Linked DNA regions of Drosophila melanogaster. The protein of the gene in region 2 purifies or fractionates together with the protein of the main gene of each other region. This does not show direct contact. Each region holds a gene or a part of one and is shown on either strand. Other genes may lie near its edges.

Evidence for each region.
Region 1: the proteins of Ror (region 2) and otk purify together in Drosophila melanogaster (affinity purification with western blotting, with the first as the bait; one study listed by BioGRID). This does not show direct contact.

Annotation. Positions count from the first base shown.
Region 1 is NT_033778.4:12,013,270-12,024,952, forward strand, and holds the start of otk (off-track), read right to left. Parts: upstream 6,578-11,683; 5' UTR 5,661-6,577; coding exon 5,609-5,660; intron 2,627-5,608; exon of another isoform or gene 1,826-2,626; intron 856-1,825; coding exon 721-855; intron 652-720; coding exon 490-651; intron 1-489. Other genes in the region: otk2 (off-track2), read right to left, coding at 10,159-10,893, 10,982-11,475, 11,547-11,619. UniProt on the Drosophila melanogaster protein: Acts as a calcium-dependent, homophilic cell adhesion molecule that regulates neural recognition during the development of the nervous system. Component of the repulsive Plexin signaling response to regulate motor axon guidance at the embryonic stage.
Region 2 is NT_033779.5:10,246,102-10,258,183, reverse strand, and holds Ror (Ror), read right to left. Parts: upstream 6,342-12,082; 5' UTR 6,218-6,341; coding exon 6,120-6,217; intron 5,910-6,119; coding exon 5,757-5,909; intron 5,701-5,756; coding exon 5,110-5,700; intron 5,046-5,109; coding exon 4,829-5,045; intron 4,778-4,828; coding exon 4,573-4,777; intron 4,517-4,572; coding exon 4,069-4,516; intron 3,992-4,068; coding exon 3,859-3,991; intron 3,800-3,858; coding exon 3,587-3,799; 3' UTR 3,498-3,586; downstream 1-3,497. Other genes in the region: Pten (phosphatase and tensin homolog), read left to right, coding at 11-120, 191-406, 468-789, 1,678-1,697; CG5676 (uncharacterized protein), read left to right, coding at 2,369-2,463, 2,914-3,106, 3,170-3,352; CG31717 (uncharacterized protein), read right to left, coding at 6,683-7,288, 7,357-7,365; bsk (basket), read left to right, coding at 8,974-9,089, 9,270-9,399, 9,462-9,659, 9,723-9,987, 10,049-10,332, 10,411-10,536. UniProt on the Drosophila melanogaster protein: Tyrosine-protein kinase receptor that functions during early stages of neuronal development.

The DNA.
Region 1 (11,683 bases), on a different chromosome or scaffold from region 2:
CTTCGGTTGCGTTTTTATGCCTCTTTACCTTTTCTTGTTGTCTTGTGGTTTGCCCGTATCTGAAAAGGGGGGTTTGGGCCAGGGAGAGGTGGGGTTGGGGTTGGAATACCATTAAATGCAGCATTAATCAAATGAATTTGCCCTACACGCAAAGAAACCGGTGAGCATTTACAGAGTGCAGCAGTTACTATCAATCTAGGTAAGTTCTATGTAATATTCCACTGAAAGTTTATGGCTCAAGAACTAACTTCAGTTTTTAGATATAAAAATGTAACAATATCAAGTGAAGTTTTTTGCAGTGCTCTCAACTACCCGCTTACAATTCAATTTCGCTTTGTTAATTTGCACAAGCAAAGACAGATTTGCTGTCGCCCTTAACCATCAGTCAATTTGCTTATTGCGAACAATTGTGGGTCTTGGAGTTGGAATGACATGGGCACTGGGATTGGGATGGAGATGGGGACTGAAACTGGGAATATAACTACTCACATATCACGCTCAGTTTGGCGGGCGGAGACGCCTCCCTGGCGCCGCTGGCCAAATTTGTCGCGATGCAAACATAGTTGCCAACATCCTCCGTGCGCCGCACCGCCTCGATATGCAAATTGGAACCGATTTGATGGACACGCTTGTCATACGCAATCCGATGACCTGGAATGGAGTGCAAGGAAGGCGAATGCTTAATGCACAACCATGGGATATGTAAATCGCACTGCTCACCATTATGCAACCAGTCGTAGTGCAGTTCACTGTAGGAGTCGGTCGATTCGCACTCGAATTTCACGGATTCATTTTCCACCACGGACTGACTTTGGGGCACTCGCTGGAAACGCGATGAGCTGGCCAAAACGGAAGCTGTAATTATAGAAATAAGCGAGGGAAATTAGTAAACTGGATCTCATTACAGTCAGCCATTATCCCGATTAAAGGGCAGAGTTTTGCAGCTCTTACAAAAGTCCCTTTAAATTTAAATTGAACATCGAACAATTTGGCTTAATTAACTAAAAAAAAAAAGTGCATTAACCATAATTTTGTTTAATTAAAGTGGTTTAAACAAATTAAATGCGCTTAAGCTGCTTAAATTACAGTGTTTAACGCAAATGTAATTTTGTAAAGCGCTCTGCAAGGGCAGGAGCAAAGGCAGAAACACCAGCAACAAAATACTCAAAAAAGGGCGGAAGCACAAAAAACAGAGGCTTTTTTTTTAAATCTAAAAACCCTTTTTGAATACTCTTTAGCTGCAATGATTAAAGTGCTTATTAAGTAGCATATTATTATTATTGAATTATTGGACAATTTGTTACAAACTAAATAATTACATAAGTTCAAAGCTTAAATGAAATGATCTTTGCCATTAAAATTTAAAAAAATACCCTTTATAGAGTATCAGAGAGAGGCATGGAGAAAAAACCTACGCCATTGCTGTCCAAAGTTGCGTGTCCTCAAACAAAATTACAATATGTGTATGGTGAAAAAAAAAAACAAACAAAAACGTATTCAGAGTTTTGTACCAACATAATTAAAAGCCAGAAGAAAAAGGCGCCCATAAAAACCATGCGAAAAATAAACGCATTTCGAGAGGAAAAATGTTTTTATACATTTAATTTGTGTGTTTCTCATTTATTTGTGAATGCAAATCGGTTGTTATATTAAATCAACAGCCGCAAATGCAATTTGCTGCATTTAAAATGCAATTCACTGGTCAGGTGTGGCCCATATGAATGCATTTCAATGGCGATTACCAAATGAGCGAAGAACCTTTTCATATCGAAGCTGTTTAAATCCAGACCACAAGTGGCGCCATTCGAGGCTACAAAGTCAAGTGAGTAGATATGGCCAGAAGATACATAACTCCCAACCGCAACTCGAAACGAAAAGCAATTCAAACGCAATTACTTTTGATTATACGACTTGGGTAGCAGGAGCAAGGAACATGAACAAGAACTACAAAACGGCAACCATTATATTTGGCCACTAATTGGAGCAATTTGAGACAACACCTCAGATTGTGGGTCCCGGGCGCAGTTCCTTTTTGGCCAAGAGCACGACCGCACCGAGGAATCAATAAGCGGGCCAACAACAACAGCCACAACATCATTACTGGCCTTTCGACGTTCGAAGGAGGAACTCCATGCGATTCATATGCCAGTCACATCGCCGACAGACGTGTTATGATACACGGCCCAACCGAAAAGGCAGTTGGGCAGGCACCGGGATGCCCTCCACCTCCTCCTCTTGGCTGGGCTTAACTCCCTGCCCTGCTCGACTCGATCCTCCCCTGAATCGATTTAATTTGCCGTGCGGAAAACGAGTTCGAGTTCCAGTCAAGTCGAGTCGAGTTGAGTCGATTCGATACGAGACGAGGGAACAATGTCAGTTACTGGGCGTCGATTAAAGAAATATGCGTCCCGCTCCGCAGTCCGTTGATTGCGCTGATGTGGGCACAAAAATGCGTGAGAGGGTGCGGAAAGCGACGAGGAGTGGGGCAGGAGGTGGAGCTCTGTGGAGGAGCACTGATGCCGCAGAAGCCGAGCAGCAAACTGAAAAAGTGTTGATGCTGCAAACATCAGCGACAGAGCCACGGAGCAGCGGGCAGTCCCGGTTCCAACTGCCCATCTCGATCTGTCTGTGGACATACACTGGCGAAAAAGAAGGGTAGCCAAGTGGGAATTTTTGATTTTCTAAATTTAAAAACAATACAAACGAATTTTCAACACTGTGTCTTTCAATTGATTTATTAAACTAAGTAATGTTTATTTATAACTTTTGGTAAGCAGTTTCGCAAATTATGAGCATGTAATGAGATATGACAGAGTTTATGATAGGAATTGGTAGATGTTTTTATCTTTTTTTATCTTTTGACATTATAGGTATAACAATCTTCTCTATAACAACCGTTTCACAAGTAATACGTTTGTGATTTATATACTTTAAGGTGTGTACTTGGAACTCTAAAGATTCTTTTTTTAAACCCAAAGAAATCTTTCTCAGTGCATCGTTCCATTCTTCCACTTACCCTCGTCGCGGGTGTGTGTGCGTGTGTGATAATTAGTTCGTTTGTTTGGCTCGAATAACCGAAATCAGCAAGTCAGCAGCAGGCAGTATTACGAGTGCCCACTGCTGTGGCCTCATGCTCATCAGCATCTTTGAGATTCAGATTCAGATTCTGATGCAGATGCGGATACAGATCCAACTTCGACTGCCACAAATGGTGCGGCAACATTCGTCGATTAAGCACAATGAATGCGAAATATTGTAGTAATAATCAGGCAACCCACTGTGGCAGCCACTTGAACTTGCCCCATGGGTGGCGTTTTGATTTGATTTTGTGTGCGTGTGTCTGTGTGCGGGGGGTGGCAATGGGAATGGGGAATGGGGGGCTAGAACTGAACTGTCACTGTGGAATGCGAGGCATTTGTCTGGGAAAAGCGGTGCTGGAAAACTGCAAGTCAACAGACAGACAGGCACTGAATGAAAAGTGGAATTGTGTCTGACAATTACGCGTCAAACGTTTGATCTAGGGTTTTTTCAGGGGTAAAAATGGCCAGAAAAAGGACTGGATGGTCTTTGATAGAGTTGGAATTCAATTTAAAGGTTACAGCATGGCTAATAAACAGTCATCAGGGCTTTATTCAGGGATTTTCCCTTCAACTACAATCGAGCTTCTCGGGATCATTTCCTTTGTGTTTCAAACAAAATTGATTTAACAACATGAAAATGGGAATCGTACTGCCTGCCAAGCATTATTTATGAAAAGTTATTATGTAGTCTCTTACTTCTTATGTGTAAAATAAATACCATTTTGGATATGATTTCTTTGAACGCTACTTTGTAGGAAATAACTAGCTTACAAAATTATGGTTTTATGTCTATTACATATAGGTAAAATACCCTTATCCAGCCAATCCAGTGTAGTAGAAAACCTCAAGGATGCTGTATTCAATTCAAAGTATTTCAAACGGAGACCAGTTGTTCATAGAACACAGCCTAATAAATTGGATTCATTATAAGGCAGCATTAAATCCTGAAATTCCCTTTATACCCCGGCTTTCTAAGCAAATGCATGACTAGTTCATACAATTTTCGAGAGAGAACCCTCTGGAGAACTTTCGACTGGCAGTCTTTAAGGTTGCCGAAGGATGCAGACAGGCGGAAGGACCAGGGGCGGGGGGTGTGGCAGTGGCAGTGGCAAAGGTTGGTGAAGGGGAGTTTTGTAGTTGCCACAGCTGCCCTTAATGTGGGATGTACGATGCTTTTGCTTTTGGCCTGGCATGTTGCATGCAGCATTTTGCATGCTTGAATAACAAATTATGACTGCCACACAAAAGGAACTCACACAAACAAGCACACACACACACACACACACTGACAGCCACATTATTTGCCATACAAATAATGGACCTCTGTAGTAGCGTTGCACAGATTTTGAAATATGCGAATCCAAATCCCCCTATCCTCGCTGTCTGCCGGCTGGCTTTTGTTAGCGGCTGTTTGCCTTTGTGCTACTTAACAGTCAGCAGTTTTCAGCTCTGTCCTGTCTCACACACACACACTCGAACGCACGCACACACATGCGTTGTTAAGGACCTTCGTTTGCATAATCGTGTCCCTCTTGAGACCCGAGATCCCCCTCCTTCGGGCACGATCCTTATCCCACTCGTAATCCCCGCTGTAAACTATATTTGATTAGCCGAAATTTCGGCGTCGCTTGTCTCACTTCAAGTGGGTATCGTGATCCTTGGCAGGATGGTCCTTATATTTCAAGTGTGTGTGTGTGCTAGCACTGGGAAAAAACATTCGGAAACATGCCTATATAGTGTTTCTAATTAGTGAATCTATTAAAACAGAACGGATCTAAAAGGTATAGAAATGAAATATTTATTAGTTTTATAACAATATTTTCTTATTCCGAGCGAGTATTTTAGCTGATCTGCCTATAAATTAACTACTTTATCTAAAGAAAAGTATTTAATGAGCAACATCTGTCATTGAAAAGGATAACCTGGCCACAAGGACCTCAATTGTTGCCTGTGTTAGTGAGCTCGTCACATTTTCGATGTTGATGTTTGCCCAAAATGACTTCATTTTGAACTGAGACCTGAGACTCATAATTTTCCAAACGGCTTCCTCTCCCGCTGCTTTCCTTCTCCTATTCCAAATTAGTAATGCCAGCTTGGTGGCTCCTGGCTGACTTTTAATTGAGTCATTTTGCACGCCGCTTGCCTTTCAAATTGAATAGCCAGAGACAAAGGCTCTCTGGGTTTTCGGTTTTTCTTCGCAAAACAAAATCGCCCTTGGAGAATAAGGAAATAGGAGTAGTTCTGTGTGGACGGCAGAGCCCTCGAGGTTAATAGAGTCCATATTATGGGTGGTCTCACCCAAGATGGAATGGCCAATATTCTGCGCAACACAAATGTTGTGATTCCTTTGAAGTTCCCAGCGATTCAGTTGCAAAGGCAATCGCCAAATGCCGACATCGAAATAAGCAAATAAATGGGAATTGAGAACCCCCTTAAGCAAATGAAATGAATTTGATTGCAAAGAACCCCCCGAGAATAAGGCAATCCCTCACTTAGTCCACAAAATCCAATCGTAGCAGACCACTTACCCATCATCAAAGCCATGACCAGGCCGCATATTGAGATCATCCTAGCAGTCATCTGCGTATATGTATAACCGCCGCACTTCGACACCTTTGGTCTCAATTAGCGACACAAAAAATATATAAGCACTCGCGTATTGGATCAGTATCGAAAACGAAGTTTTATGCTGCTGGCAATCCGATGAATACACTCGCACATCCACCAGATAGTCACTGTAAGTGCCGGCCACTCGAAAATGCACTCAACGCATTTGTAAATATTCAATATTTGGATGGCACAGACGTACGACGACGACGACGATGACGACGATGACAACGACTGCCCTTTTCAGGGGTTTACCGGGGTTTCAATGGGATCACTGGGCTCCACCGGGGATGGTGTTGTTGGTGGTGGTGACTGGAGTCCAGGGCGGTTTTTTGATGTTTACTGTGGACACTCAAATTAAATTGCTATTTACATAGTTGGAACGCATGAAATGCATTTATCACCGAGAACACACGAACTGATACGCCACTTGCTGTTTGTTGCTTTTTACTTTTATTTTCCGTTGACGGCTGGTTTATGTTTCGTGGCTGCGTTCGCGTTTGCTTTTTTATCAGCGACCAGATTGACAAGCGACGGATACGGATACCGACAAAGGTATCTAGATACACAAAATGCAACGAAATGCTCGAAGACCGAAGACCGAAGACCGCGCGGCAGAGGGCGCAAGGAGCCCAACTGTGGGGTTCAATTACCCAAGAGAACGCGAGCGCAACAAATCAACTTAATTTGTATCTTAAAGATACAAGAGCCCGGCTGCATCAGCTGCATCCTTGGCATCATCGCATCCCGAACCGGCTTTGGTGGGTGATTTTAGTTCGGGGCAAACTCGGCTAAACAAAACGTAGCGCAAAAGGAACTTGGATATCTCGAATCCAATCGAACCTCAAACTCAATCTGAACTGCACGCGTTCGAAGTCTGTTTATTACTGAACTCCGCCGGCTGTTCGAAGTTGTTGGTGGGAACCGGCTTTTGCTGCTCTCTCAGCGGAAAATACTGGGTTCAGTTAGCGCTCTCTCCGGTGGAATATACCTACTCGTGACCAGTATTTCTTGCATGCCCTGTATTTCTGCCAGTGCTGCCGAGCTGCAGCAGTCGTTTGTGGCGCGGCAAGTTTGAAGTGGAATTTTAAAGACTTAACTCACAAGTTTCATTTAATTTAAAATACACCAAAACCTAAAATTAATTTATATAATATATATAAATATATAATATTTATAAAGAGCAACCAACTTAAGATGATCATCGTGAGATGTGGTAAAAATGGTTTATTGTGATTAAAAAACTAAGAATTGTTTTATGAGTTTATATCAAACATGAGTATTTAATTTGCGATTATTCCCCCTAGCTGAACCCGACACTCTTCCTAATTTCATTTGATGAAATAAAGCTATCAGTTGTCTGCAATCAGATCAGAGAGTCACTATGCAAACCGCCCGCTGTCTCATCATCCAACCGTTTCCCCCTGTTTTTTTTTTTTTGAGTCCAAACAATAATGCGTCTTAATGACCAAAGCAAGAATCAGCTAAAATGGGGTGGCCGGTCGGCAGTGGGAGGAAATCCATTGGTGGCTTGCTGCTTTTACGAGCAGATATACGACGAAACTGCAAGATACTTCCACTACCAATTTTCCACACTCGAAGAAATAAAGAAAATTTTAAAATGTTCTATGAGAGAAAATGTTATCTAAGAGCAACGAAGGAAAATTTTGATAATACAGCAAAACCAATTTAAAAACAATGACATATAAATTTAAATCCAATTGAATCTTTTGATTGAAAGGTTCGGCTCTTAATCATATAATGTTTATAAAACTGTAGAAGTTTTCTATGAAATTGTTGGATAGGTAAAATGGTTGATTGGTATAAAATTATAGTTTCTAAACTTTTTAAACAAATTCTAATAGATCAAACCTATTGCTGTGCATCTAAGACAGTCCTTGGCTGCTACTGTGCGATTATGAGAACGGGCCTGCGTGAGTGTGTGTGTGGATTTCCATTTTATAGTTTTCCGCTTGATTTTTTTACGAGGCCTTTCAACCCCGCACAATGGAAAACCAAGCGAAGAGCCACAAAAACAATTGCAGCTGATCCTTTAGCCGGCGTTGACTGACACCCAAGAGTCGTAAACTGCCGTTGCCATTTGTATAAACTATATAACCGAGAGGGGTGGTGCCCACCCCATTTCCTCCTTCCCCCAAAAGTCCCAAACCCCGCCCCTGATTAACAGTCCGGGCCCTTTGTGATTATATCTGCGTGGAAATGCGTGTGTGCGGTTATCAAAGGCTGGCCATGGCGATGCCCAGAAGGGCGAAGGGACCGACCATCCAAAGTTGGGCCTCCAGTGCGCTTTTCCACCTCCCATTTCCCAGTGCTCGCGCTGACTCTTCGGACGAACGACAGTTATTGATGTCATAAAGTTGGAGATTTATGCCATCGCCTGGCTGGAATGTAGGGCTTATGTTTTATTATAGGCCTTGTTTTGAATTTGGTTCCTTTTCGCCTTCGCCTCCCTTGATTTTGGGGTGCAAAGCGATCGGGCGAACCGAAGCTGCAAATGGTGTGTTAATAATATTGTATTAACTTTTCATATTGCAAAGGGGTTGCCAAGGGGTAATATGTTAATTGGATAAGTCGCACGATGCCACAACTTCATTTATTTCAAAAATATGAGACCCTCTTTGCTAAATCAGTAGATAAATACATACATACAAAAAGTTTCAATTTGAAAAATTTTATTTTCGAAATCGCACTCTTTGTCGGAAGTCTTAAGTATATCCTTAGAAGATCGTTACAAATTTGATTGCTCTGTTCTTGGAAAGTTTTAAACGTTGCAACTTATTCCTGGCCAAACTAGAAAGAAATCTTTTCATCTTTTAGGGTCTTTCGACTATACCGCCATCCATATATGTTTAAGTTATTATTTCGAACTGCTTACCGTAACTCAACGCCTCGCAATCGTATAATTTTATGGAGCATCCCAAAAGTTGCAACGGATTCCGGCTAGAATCCAAATCGGAATGCCGCCCATAGCAAACATCAAACATTAGAAGGCATTAAAATAAATTTTAGTAACGCGGCCTTTGCGTAGACTAAACAAAATAAACATACGTACATATATTGTAGTACACAGCGTTTGAAGGTGTTTTTGGGCTGAGGCCCGCCCCGTGCGCACTTACTATAAACAAATAAGGCGAAAAAGTACCAAAAAAAAAGAAATAGAAAAAAAAGGGGGAAATCGAAGAAGAGGAAAAACATCAGCGGAAGGGCCCCCAACAACAAGTTTTTAATGCATGTCGATGTCGTCGTCGCCGCCGCAGATCAAAGGCAAATCGCCTATACATACATATGTACATATGTAGGTGCATGGTACATACATATAGAGAGGTTGGGGTGCTGCATAGGATACCATACCATGCCATACCATACCATACCACACCATACCAATCCATTTGATGGGCGGCTGGTGGAAATGCAGGCAGGGGTGGTCGTAGTCGCAGTCGTTTAATTGCACTTGCCGCTTACTTTTTTATCTGCTGCCTGGTGGCGGAGTAACCTGCGCATGTGTAGTTGCCTTTGGATAACGCCTTTGATGTGTGGTGTGCGCTGTTTATTCGAGCGCTATAAAAAGCCATAAAATATGCATAAAGCACACTGGCAATTGGAGATTGCCAGCATATGCCAATGGAAATGGACATGGAAATGAAGCGATTAAGTGCAGATGCCGGCAATTGAAGGGAAATTGTCGCTGGATATGCTTTAGATGGAAATTCCCTACAAGATGATGGGTATGGGTGACACTGCCTCAAAGGATGGCATATCATGGTGCAAGCTAGTCAAAGAATCCAAAACAAATTGTTAAGTAATTTGGCATTGGAAGGATACCTTTTTCCTATCACAAATATAAGATATACTATTCAACATGTTGATAAACTATAATTGCTATGAAGAAACTTTCATTGTTTTAATTAAACGAAAGAAGAAACGCTGGAATGTCGCGCTATTTTACGACTTTTTATCGGAGGGGGGAGGGAGGGTTGCCTTTATGTGCAGCAAACTTCTCCGTCTGTCATAAAAAGCGCATAAAAAGCCATGGCAGAACACTCATCCGGGTTCCATGGGCTTTACGGCCGTGCCAAGTGGGCTTCCAATTTACGATGGAGCAGCGGAGGAAGTTTACGAGCCCCGCACAACGCTTGTCCGCCGCAAAAAAAAGGAGATTGAAACGATTGCGCTATAAAATGGGGCTCTATGAGAGCCATAAAATATTTATTCTACTAAAAAATAACTGTACATGGGATATATACACAGAGACACACACATGCATAAATACATAAAATATTTATATATATATAAACTAGATAAATATATAAATACAAATAGATTTCTGGGGGATTTCACAAGTTCCTTTTTGATTCTCAACAACAGAACGGAGTAACTTTCGAGGGGCATGTTTAGCGAGATCATGGAAAGTGGCTGAAAGGTTACTCCACAGGCGCAGGAGCACTACTCCTCACACAATATCGTCGGCCACCTGCGACTCCTGCTCCAGTATCGTGCTCTCCCTCAGCTTGCTCTTCAGATTCTTGCTGGAGTTGGCCTCCGTCAGGCAGGGCTCGTTTTCGTGATGGTCGTGCTCCTGACCATCGGTGGGCCCATTGACATGGCCATCTTCCAGCTGCACCTTGCCCAGGTGACGACGATAGCGGTACCACACCTTTAGGCCAAGCACCAGCACAAAGTACAGGAAGGCCAGGCAAATGATCACAATGATAATCCGGGTCACTATTGAATTGGACGCGGATTTACTTGACTTCAACACCAGCAGAACATCCTCTCGCTTCAAGCCCGCACTGCTGCCAATGGTGCAGCCGTAGCGACCCTCATCCTCTGGCCGAACATTGCGTATCTCCAGAGTTCCGTTCTCCATTAGGGAAAAGCGTTCCGGATCCGTGTTATTCTCGTTCAAGTAGGTGAGATCCTTGTCCCATTGAATGGTGGGTTTTGGCTCTCCGATTGCCTGGCAGTGGATCACGGCAGTTCCGGCTTCTGCGACCTCGATGGGTCCCTCCGGCGGAACACTGAACTTCGGGGCCACCACCACATTGATGGACACGGTGGCCGTGATTTGACCCTGGCTATTGGAGGCGATGCAGGTGTACTGACCCCGTTGCTCGTTGCTGACCTGGTTGAAAATCAGCGTGCCATTCTGATCGGTTACGTTAACAGGGAGAGGTAGCTGGGTTTCCTGGAAGGATTGAATTATATGTAAGTATTAAATGTTGCATCATGCAACTTTAATTTGATTCGAACATTCAAAAGAATGCAATGCTTACCCTCATCCATTTGACTTGTGGAGCAGGCGTTCCCTGCGCCTTGCAGTGGACCTTACTAAGAGTTCCCAACTCCAAGTTTTTGGAGGTTGGCTGTGGCACGAACTTTAGTTGCTCAATAACCAGGAGCACCCCACTGCTGGAGCTGGCAGCCACGGAGTCGTCGATGACCAACTGGCACTGATACTGACCGGCATCGCTGGCCAGCACGCTTGTGAATTGCAGGGCGCCACTGTCCTTGCTCAGCGCCACACGGGAATCCTCCCGCAGCATGGTTTCCAGCTGTGGTTCGCTCGTTGTGCTGTCCATCCTGCCCAGCTCTACTTGACGCAACGTTTTGCTATCCTTTCGCCAGCGCAGGATGACGCTGCTCTTCTGAAGATACCCATCCGGCAGTTGGTAGTCACAGGGCAATTGCAACGAACTTTGTTCCTTGATGGTAATCGAGGATTTCGGACCCCTTGAGATGCTCACATCCTCAAATGATGCTGGCGCGGCTGTGGGGCAGATAGTGGAGGAGTTATTGGAATGAGAAGAAAAGATGAGTCAGTCGGCCGACTTAACTCACCGTAAGAGCAGAAGATCAGGCAGAAGAATCCCAGGCCGCAGCCCAACAATCGTCGTCTTCCGTTCAGCCCCATTTCGAGCTAAAGAATTCTTTTGATTTCACTTCGTACTTCCTTCGCTTCTTTCGCACAAAACCGG
Region 2 (12,082 bases):
TTCTCTTTAGCTTGCGAGTCCGATGGAACAGTTAACAAATATATACACACTTTAAGCAAATCAGAAATCGATGATGTACATAAAGACAGTGAACATAAAAGATTTTCAGAAGAATTCAAGGTAGGATATTTCGAAGCATTTTAATAGATGCTGCGAAATTACCAAATAAATGTGCTTGCTCTCTTTTCAGATTTCAATCGTTTTTGAGGCAGAGAATTTTAGCAATGATGTTCAAGCTGAAGCGTCCGAAAAAGAGAGAAACGAAAATGTTTTAAATTTCGAAAGATCAGACTATGACAGTTTGTCTCCAAACTGCTATGCCGAAAAAAAAGTCTTAACTGCGATCGTCAATGATAATACAACGAAAAGTCAAACAATAGAAACGTTGGATCATAAGGATATAGTTGTAAGTGAAAACACGTTTTGCGCCGATCAATATGCTTAATCTATAAATCTAATATTCGTAGACTAAAATTCAATACGACACATCAACCAATTCAAAAAATACTTCGACTGCGTGCAAACGCAAACAGCCTAATAGCAAAACTCTTTTACCAAGCTTGAATGATTCCACAAAAGAGGAAATAAAACGAAATCATATATTTAATCAACCGTCCATTAAGAAAACTGATTTAATCAAATGGCAGAATAGTGAAGTTCATATCACCTCTGACACTCGAAGTATAAACGAAAATAAGAACATCAATTACAATTCATACATCACATGTAAACAATCCTCTCCAAAATTCAACTGTGGTACCGAAGATGGCGAGGAAGATTGGGAATCCGGTGAGTTTGCTGCACACTATACTCTCAATGACCAGATCTCACTAAAAATCTATCCGTTTTAATCGAGTAATACCGAACAATTGTTCTAATTTCACATTTATTTAATACTAAGAGTTTCGATTCAATTGATTTCTGGACCATTATCGGTTTGATTTTGTAATTAATTGTATTGTATGAGTATTCAAATTAAGATTTGTTAAAAGAGATAGCCTTTATCGACATATGCTATCGTCCACACATTTATATTCTTATTGACTTATTGAATTCGCCAGAATAATCACCCGAGACGATTTAAAAGACTTCTGGCTGAACGATCTCTTAATTTTGATGTATAAAACGAAGCCACCAGAACTGGATTTATATGTCCCCAAGACTTTTACGAGTATACTAGCAGAGACAGGCTTACACAGATCCACTTCCTTTCACGGGGAAACGATCGATTACAGCTGCGCTCTGCACATCTGTTTAGAATTTAATGTACATAGGTGAGTGAGTGGGAGCCCATGCCTGCGGCTCGAATGGTCAACTAACCGGCAATCCTTAATCAGTATCCGCATCGATTTTCATCACACATCCCTCACCGCTTCATAAGTATGTGACTCTGGGCACTGCCATTGTCCTTCTACTCAATTCATTTAACAAAACTAGCACCGAACTGTCGAACTTCGACTAATTCGACTATTTCACTGTTGCTGTTGAAAACTAAATATCCTGAAGCAGAATGTGTCTTTTGTGTGTTTCATCATCATCAAAAGTCTTCTGCTTTTAATTCATTCATGCTATTTTGATTTTTATCGTATTCTCGTTGAGTTTTAGTTAATAAATTCATTAAGCTTGTTTGAGCAAAAAAATCTAAACTAATAAATGAATATTTTTCTTTATTTCCAGGTGAATCAACATACCTGTAATCAATGCTTATTACGGACTTATAATTCTTGGTGATTTAGCAAAGTAATTAAAATTGCTAAGTAATTGGCTAATCTATTCGAATTTGTAAATATACTGTATGATATTTATTTAAGTAGTTTTAACAATTATTTTAAATAAACTCATGTACATTTTGTATTGTAGATTTCATTCGAACTTTGGGTTTTTGTCTAAAGTAAGGGGGGAGAAATAATTGACGTTTAGAAAAAAATACTTAAATTTATAGTTTTGATCTCGAAACTAGTTTTCGACACGAAAAGTGCAGCGATTAAATGGATATCTCATATTTTATTGGAATTTAACTAATAGTTTCAAATGAGGCAATAGCTAAGATAAATAAATAATAAGAGGTTCTTGAAATTTGCCAATTGTTGTGCAAAGCATACAGGATTCACAAAGGTAATTATCAGATTAATAATAAATATTCAAAGTATGATTATTCCAGTTTCTACGTTAAGTGCTACCAGTTATTTTTCTTACTCTTTTTCCCATAATTCCCCTAACATATGTTCCACTTCCGAGTTCCAATAAACCCAACACAAAAATGTTGTCCAAATTGACGCTATCTTGACGGGCATATATTATTGTGTTAAATTGACGTAAACTGGGCGGTCAGAATTTCGCATCTTAACGTCGACATCTAATTTTAAAAATGACTAATTATTCGGAAATTTTTAAGAAAGTTTTTAACGATATTGGCCAACGTTCAGCATATTCGCAGATGCTTATTGGCGTTTCATCAGGATGGTATGTGGTTATATCATTGCGGCGCATCACTTAAATTTTTAGCAATGCCGATTGTCTTTGGAATTTGAAGTAAATTGATTTTTTGCATACTTTCGGTAATAGCTGGTAGATAACTGCAGAATACGTTTTTAATTAAAATATACAACTGAATGCTTAGCCGCTCCATCTATTGCAAATATGTACTTCTAAATACGTGTATAAATGAATGTTGTTTGTTTGCGGGATACAGAAATATAGGACCTCCCTAAAAAGGAAAAGAACTAAATAGTGTAATAAAATGAGTTATTAATCAGATAAAACTGATATAATTTGCACAAGATAAGCTAGATAACTCGGCAATTTACTATACATGTATATGCGCCAAATGATGAGTTGCAAATTTAAGGAAATCCATAGAATTTGCTGGAATTTGTGTATCTTATCTTACTAAAAATATAACAATTTTTTCAGGGTCACAGGATATACGACAATGAAAATAGGCAAATTTGCTGCCTTTGCAGTTGGCGGCAGCATAATCTTGCTCGAAATCGCCCACCAAGAAGGACTTATAAAAATAAATTGGTCTAAGTTGGATAAGAGCGTGGATAAGCTCGCCGATAAAGTGGAAGCCTCGCTGGGTCGTGAGAAGAACTGGAAGGATAAGGTATAATTCATTTAAACCGTTTATCTATATGCTTACTATATTTATGCTGAACTCAATTTGCAGACCGAAAGATATGTCGACAATCAATTAGACAGAGCTGAAAGCCTCCTAACCCGAAACGGCAAGAAAGTGGCGAAATGGTACACCAAACTGATTGGCGATGAAGAGGGTCCAAAAGTCAACGATCTGCACATATTTTTGGCATCATTTTTCGGTGGCGTTGCCCTGGGCATTGCTACTGGATAAAAGAATTTTCCGATTGGCACAACAAAACATTTAAATACCATATGGTTATTACGAACAAATCTCACTTAATAAAGTTACAAAAAAGGTAATTTAATCGAAAATCAATTGGTTCTTTCCCAAAACATCTCAACACTCTTCGGGTTTTCGATATCATTCGTTTTATTAAATTCTTAAACCTACTTATTTTACAGTCCATTTCGTTGAAAATACATATGTATGTGTAAAATCTTATGTTTACATTTCTGGATTACTGGCCTTAAAGTGGCCCTCGTGCCAAGTTTTGAGACGGTTCGAAATATCTGTGAATGTTGGACGTTTTACTGACTGCTCATGCCAGCACTCGATCATTAGCGAGTAGACAGCAGTGGGACAGTTTTCCGGAGCGGAGAGCAGTTGCCGTGAACGGATGAGATTGATTACTTCCTGATTGCTAAAACCGTAGTATGGCTAAAGGGATAGCATTGGAATTAGATATTGCGCATTTAAATCAAGTTTAAGATACTTGCCTGCATTCCATAGCTGTATATTTCCCAAAGAACGACTCCAAAGGACCAAACATCGCTCTCGGTCGTAAACTTTCCATACAATATCGATTCCGAGGGCATCCACCTTACAGGCAATAGCGACTTTGACTGAACTCTGCAATAAAAACCAGCAAAAATGTTTGCTCTTTGTAGCTGCAATCTTGATATATATATGTATATCCAAAGTCTTACCGATAATAATCTGAGCTGTAAATGTCTCTGGATAGTCCAAAATCGGATATCTTCACAACCAGACCCTCGTTTACCAGGCAATTCCGAGCTGCCAAGTCGCGATGTACGTAATGATGGGCCGACAGATACTGCATTCCTTCGCTGATTTGTAGAGCTATTTGCAGGAATTCCAACTGCGACAGCGACTTGCCTTCGGTGGGTGAGTTTGAGATTAGGAATTCGTGCAGATCACCATTGGCCATGTACTCGAACAGCATGCAGTAGGGCTCCTTATTGAGCACTACGCCCAATATGCACACTATATTCTGATGCTTTAGATCCGAGATTAGTTCGATTTCGCGCTTAAAGTCCTGCTGCGTTTTCACCGAGGCGTTTTCCTTCAACGCCTTGATGGCAACTGTTATGGTGGTTTTGTTCGGCTGCAGGAGCTGTCCCTTGTAGACTTTTCCTACAATCGAAATGATATTAAGAACTATATAACCTGATTATACTGGAATTACGAACCAAAAGCTCCTTCGCCCAGCTCCTCCAGAAACTCAACATCCTGCAGCGTAAAATGGTTTATCCTCAGCAGAGTATTTCTTTCGATAAGTTTGGAGTTCAAAGCAACGTGATCGGATAGATTTCCCAGATTTCCCCTGCCAGCATCTTGTGCGTTATTAAGCTGCGAATTTCCGTAGATATTTTTATCGGCGCTGGGTGTGTTGATCTGTAAGAATAATTGTAATACTCTGTTGTATATCCTTAGATTTTTACTCACATTATGAATATTCCTCATTCCATAGTGCATGATTGTTCTCCTTTTGAAAAGTATTATCGCAAATATAATTATGAATATTAGAATAATGGCTGCAGTCGTTCCGACAATGGCAATCCATATTTTGTCCGCACATTTTGGAATATCACAAAGTTCGATTATGCGTTCACGTGAGGAGTCCACAAAACACCAAGGACTATTTTCAACGCTTCCAGGATTTCTAACGAGATTTAAATATAAATTATTATTTCGATTTCCTTTCGAAATAAATTAAATAAAATTACCTGCAATAATTCTGACCGATGAGTTCAGGGAAATCGGAGATTTCCTTCATCAGCCATGACCATCGCAAACATGGCTTTCCGGATGCGGAGACGTTGGCCACTCCTCTATATGTCGATCCATCCTCCCAGTAACAATTCTCCGTCTTATCCACCTCGATGGTGATGCCCAAGGATAGGCAGTCCTTGTGCTGCGGCAACTTTTGGCAATCCTCCACACCCACCATCCCGATGACGGGATGTCGCTTGGCAATGGCATATTCCTTCTGGCACAGCTCGTTCTCCAGAAGTTCGCACTCTTCGCGGCAAATGCGTTTTAGGTTCTCAGACTCTCTGGTTGGTGGGTATTTACTCGATATGTCTGTGCTGAACACATCCTCGTAGATGGTGGACTTCTTCTTGAATATGCTTATGTTCTTAATGTCCTTGGACTTGGTTCTCTTCCGTCGAATGCTGACGTTCTTCAGTTGCTTGGCATTTGTGGCCACGTTGGCGAAGTACAAGAGATTCGTGCGCTCTGGAGTCCGGCAAATTGGCATTGAACTGAAACACAAGCTGGGCAAAGCGTACATGCGGCAATTTGCGTTCATATCCCTGAAAATATGCACTTGGCATTAGCAACGGAATGTTGAAATAGTTATCATACTCACTTGGATTCCTTGATTACTCCATAAGCTGCCTTTAATCGCTCCTCCAAATCGTTCATGGTGAGATTGGGGGATACGAAAACATGGGCATTGCTCAAGACATCGCGACAAATGGTGCCATTGTAAATATGGCAAATACCTGATGATTGCTGGAAACTGCAGGGCAAATAATATATTGCATTTTTAAGGATTAAAAGGATAAGGGCGTCTAAAGATTTCTGCATTCGAGTATACACTATGTTTAGTAATTTAAAAATATATAAAACATGTTAAGCTCATGATTTCATTAATTATTAATTCCACACAAAAGTATTTCGCTAATTATTGTTGCGGAAACTTGGGAAAACTTTCAGTGAAAATACCTACCCATATATTCTTGAGTCCACATTATGGCTCCCCACATCCTTTTTTGTAAATAAAAGCACGAGCGAAATGCAGACTATAAATGCCGAGTATTTGTTCATATTGCTTAATCTAGCTAACAATATGAAGCCTTTTGTTATTTCAATAGTCCAATTGACATGCCAACGATTCCGAAAATATTTTTGTATTTATCCTTTCGCGAAAACTTTATGTGGCATACAACATTTCATCCCCCGACGAAGTCGTTGGGGTTGTTGACTCCTTATCGATGAATCGATATATTTAGGAGTGCTATGACTCGGAACAAAGGAATTACACTATAATTTCTTATAATTAATAATCCAAATATCTTCAAAAGCTTTATTTATTTTATTAAAGATGGTTGTATAACGACTTTAGTCTCATTTAAAGTACACTTTCCCTTTTCACAGTGAAATAAGGGTAGAAAAATTATGCGAAATACACAATAATATGAATTTAACATTAACAATGTATTTGGTTAAAGCATTTATCATAATGATCTAGAGATTATCTATTGCTTTCGGTGTTCCAATCGTAACTTATCGTTACTCCATGCTGTCGACAGTTTCCTCGGTAACAAAGCCCACAATGCTAAATGCAGTTTCCTCGCTGATCCACAGAAGTCCCACGATTAGTGCCTCCAACACTCCGATGGCAGCACCGGCGCAGATATCCAAAATATAATGACGCTGGAGGATGAGCCGTGAGATGGCCACGCTTACAGCCCAAGCTGTGACCGGCATTAGGAATATGATGTGAAGCGGATACAGCTTGGCGAAGAACAGCAGCACAAAGAACGCCCGGGAGGCATGACCTGAGGGAAAGCTGAACTTATCGGGTCCAATGGTCAGCATATCCTTGCTGGCCACCGGTCGCCTGCGACGAACAAGCGCCTTCAGCACGGCCACGATCACTACGTCGAGTATCAGGCCGAAGAGCATATTGACTTGCATTTGATACAAGCTCTTCGAGCTGAGCAACCAGATGAAGGCGATCCATGAGACAAACCAGGCGATTCCATCGCATGATATCTCCAGAAATCTGCTGTGGATCCGCAGGGATTTGAAGAACGACAGATTGGAGACGGCTACTACAAAATGCTTCGACACCTGAACATCCTTCTCCAATAGGTATTTAAGTGCTGGTGATGACTGCAAGGACAAGATTTTAAAATTAGCACTTATCAGCTTATGTGATTCATCAGTGGCCAAAAACCAACCGTCCTCATATCGCTGTGTATTTCAACTCTTTTGTTTTTATTTATTGTTAGTGATGACAGTATTTCTCATTCGTCATTCGATGTATACTCGATAAGTCGAGCAAAGGAATATCTAATGACCGGAACGGTGAAATGAAACACTGCGCCAACTTAGTTTTTGGTCTTTATTAAATAAATTGCATTTGTATATGTTTATTTGTAAGTTATTAACACTTATTAGGTTTTAAACCCCTAATTAAACCTAATTTTAATCAAAAGTCGATTGGCTGACTTTAGCCGTTTCTGGTTTTGGTCCTACTGCAATCTGGTCACATCGATTTAAGTAACTTTGTTGTGATCGAATATTCCAATAGATTTTCGTATATTGTATTGTATCCATGTACAATTATTCTCATGCGAAAGTGCCGCAGATAGTTGATTCTTAAATTTCAATAACATTAACATAGTTTAAAATGCTCGCCACTTTGAGTGCCCAGTGTGTAGAATAAAATAGAAAAAAAATCGATTTTATATTTTCACAAGAAATTCTGTACTTCTTCGTTAAATGGTAAATAAATATTCTATTACGTTCCATTCACATCAAATATCGAATCACCGAAACACTCCTGCAAAACGTGCCATAATCGATTGAAAGCAATTATAGTTGTGCCGGTTATGAAAAAAATTATTGATATTTAACATAAAATGTCAACTGCCCAAAGAGTGTATGTACCTATGTATGCGCAAATGTCTAACGTTTACATATCGACACTACCCGAAGCGTAGACCGCTTTATTATCTGCAGCGCAAACGAGCGCTTTTTCGATGTACGAATACGGGGAATATCTTTTATCTGAGAGATAGTTTGAAAAGTTACTAAATTATCGACCCACATTTGTGTGGCTGTATGTGCATATGTATGTATGTGGCTTACATCTTACACATATGTATACCAGTAGAAGTTTACAGTTTTCATCCGCATACAAATCGTGTGTATGTACATATTTACACAGGCAACGGCATGCATACACATGAACGCTATGTACATCGCTGTGGTCCAACATTCCGTACTTTTATGTTTAAGCCGGACATATCGATTTTAAATCGGTTTTTTTTCCTGTGCGTGCCGCTAAACACTTTGCTCAAAGAACGAAACGCTCGGTTATTTCTGTTGGGTGTTTTTCCAACCATATTCGACATGTGTTCGGCAAACATTTAAATGCTTATCAATAGAAAAGGGGGTTCGGCATTCGAAGTCGGCTCAAATAAGTGACTGCGTTATGCAATTGTATCTTTTTGAAGGAACTCGATATTTTTTGCTCGTGGTTTGGCAACAAACTCGCCACACACTAGCCAGTAAATTTCACCCCTCGCGACAACAGAGACCCACTTAATGGCCATAACATTCTGCCGAAATAAGGCCAGGCAAAGTTAATGTTTTCCTACCCCCTAATTCCAGACGAAGTTGTCTGAAAACTGCCTCCACCCATTCAGAATGGAGCCATACATACGGACGTCTTTGCTCCTTATATAAAACAGAATCACACTGTAAAACCGTATTGATTTATCTTATTTACCCTCTTGAAAAGGCCGATATGCTCCTTGCTCTCAACTAGTAATAAATAAAATCAGTGAACAATGACGACAGCTCAGCACCAACACTACACCGTCGAGGTGGGGGACACCAACTTCACCATCCACAGTCGGTACATTAATCTACGGCCCATAGGATCAGGTGCCCAAGGAATAGTATGGTAAGTGGTTATCAATATGTTATTACATATAATACATTTAACAATTTTTTGGCTTAAACAATTAAGATATTTCGCATGAGTATGAAGTCATATTTGTAACGCTCCATTGTATATTAGATTAGATTAGATGGGATTAGCTGGAATATGAAAAAAAAAAATAACAAATTTAATGCATTTCAGCGCCGCTTACGATACTATCACCCAGCAAAATGTGGCGATTAAGAAACTATCTCGACCATTCCAAAATGTAACCCATGCCAAGCGAGCATATAGGGAATTCAAGCTAATGAAGCTTGTTAACCATAAAAACGTATGAAACTTGCACCTTTAACTTTAACAAATTTCTACTAAACATAGGTATTTAATCCGTAGATAATTGGCTTACTTAATGCTTTTACGCCGCAAAGGAACTTGGAAGAGTTTCAGGATGTCTACCTGGTCATGGAGCTGATGGACGCTAATCTCTGCCAGGTCATCCAAATGGACTTGGATCACGACAGAATGTCCTATTTGCTTTATCAAATGTTGTGCGGAATAAAACATTTACACTCAGCAGGAATTATTCACAGAGTACGTACAGTATGAATACATCTTTAAAATGAGTATGAAATATATGAAATACTTCATTTGCAGGACTTAAAGCCATCCAATATAGTTGTAAAGGCCGACTGCACTCTAAAAATTTTGGATTTCGGTCTGGCACGTACTGCAGGAACTACCTTTATGATGACTCCCTATGTGGTCACCCGATATTACAGGGCTCCAGAGGTCATTTTGGGCATGGGATACACAGAGAACGTGGACATATGGTCCGTCGGTTGCATTATGGGCGAAATGATACGGGGCGGTGTGCTGTTTCCTGGAACGGATCATATAGATCAGTGGAATAAAATTATTGGTATGTTGCTGCTTAAATAACTTGATTCTCGTTATGATTGTCAACTTTTACGTTTTTTCAGAGCAATTAGGTACACCATCACCCTCGTTTATGCAACGGTTACAGCCAACCGTCCGAAACTATGTGGAAAATCGTCCTAGATACACTGGATACTCATTTGATAGACTTTTCCCCGATGGCTTGTTTCCAAATGATAATAATCAGAATAGCCGCCGGAAGGCTTCTGACGCTAGAAATCTTCTTAGTAAAATGCTAGTCATTGATCCAGAGCAGCGGATATCTGTGGACGAGGCTTTGAAGCATGAATATATCAACGTGTGGTATGATGCTGAGGAAGTGGATGCTGTAAGTGATTCTGGCATAAACTGGATTTCTAGGAATGTTGAATGTTTTTAATCGCTTAATTGCATGCATCTCTTGCAGCCCGCTCCGGAGCCATATGATCACAGCGTGGACGAAAGGGAACACACTGTGGAGCAGTGGAAGGAGCTAATCTATGAGGAAGTCATGGACTACGAAGCACACAATACAAATAATAGAACGCGGTAGAGAACGACTTTTTCCTCCTTAGTCAGTCACAAGAAAACTAAAGCTTACCAACAATACGGCGTGTATTGTTAAATTATTACAACAAATAAAATATTCAAATTGTATTTAAAAATATAGTAACCATTAAAAAATAAAATCAATATGCGAAACTTTGTAATTTCTTACTCATCCTTGTTTTTTGAGCCCGCTTTCTTAAGTTAAATCGTTAAAATACCAGTTTAATCATTTCATTGTCCTGATTTCAGGAGCTAATTACATTTTAATCTTTGTATAAATTCATAAAATTTAAATGGAAAAGTTTAACCATATAAATTATTTCGGTATATAAAGTCGATACATACTTTTAAAATTTTGTTTCATACAAGAATATGGAAAGTAGATAATTTAGTTACCGATAAAAACATTTCTAAAATACAAAAAATTTAAAATGATGATTAAATAAAAAACTGTTATACTAAATTTAAACGAAACAAACGGTCATTCGATAACTCAATTAGTATCGAATAAGCCGGCGTGTAAATCGGGCTGGCAACTCTCACCGGTGTAGAGATCGGGATGGCAACTTCGTACTGTTATTCCTATGCTGCGATAACGATAACAGCAAAGTGTCATCGCGAATAAATGTGGGTTTGATAATAAAGAATTGCGTTGGTGAACAATAATAATACAAATGCTAAATGTATCGCGCGGATAACTAGTAAACACTGATTTCGCGCATATCGGGCATACGGGCAGCTAGACGTCTTAGGTAACACATTTCCCAGCCACATTGGCGTTGAGGTATTATTTCCCATATCCATGTGCGTTTGTAAATGATACCACCAGAGTGTGCCATATGTATCGTTGTTTGTACATACATGCCTACGGGGAAAAATAACTCGCAGATACATATGTATGTAAGATGTATTAGAATTCCACAGATATATGTACATATAAATATATATATATATTTATGATGCTCATCTATAAAACAAAATATGTACAAACATACGCGCGCACGTACTTATGTATGTACATATGTACGTACATATATGTATAATAAAATGAGCATCTAGCTGCGGTTATCTTAATGCAATGCGCAGAAACCTGAAAACGAAATAAACAATCTTTACAGCGCCAGCACAGTGAGCCAATTATGAATTCACAATTCCACATCCAATTCCGATTCCGAATTCCATCGCTTTACATCCTAATTCGAATACGTCGCGCCGCGTAAGCTGCACTCGAATATTGACATAAACGACGTAATTGCGTGTTTTGATTGCGATTTCCGATGCTCGATGTTGACAGACGGCAAGGATTTTTTTTGCCAGCCGACATTGCGAATGCTTTTCGCGTGTTTGCGTTGTGAAAAGCGATTTGTTGTTCCGGCAGTTGGAAATGTTTTGTGCTGTTTATGCTTAGAAAAGCAAATGTATTGCACAAAACTCGTGTTTCCTACATTAGTAAAGCCTATAACTTAGGTATATGTTTCTAAATTACAATGCAAAAAATAAAAAACATTATACATGTGTTCGTTCTTTAATTTGAAAACAGAAAAGTGAAA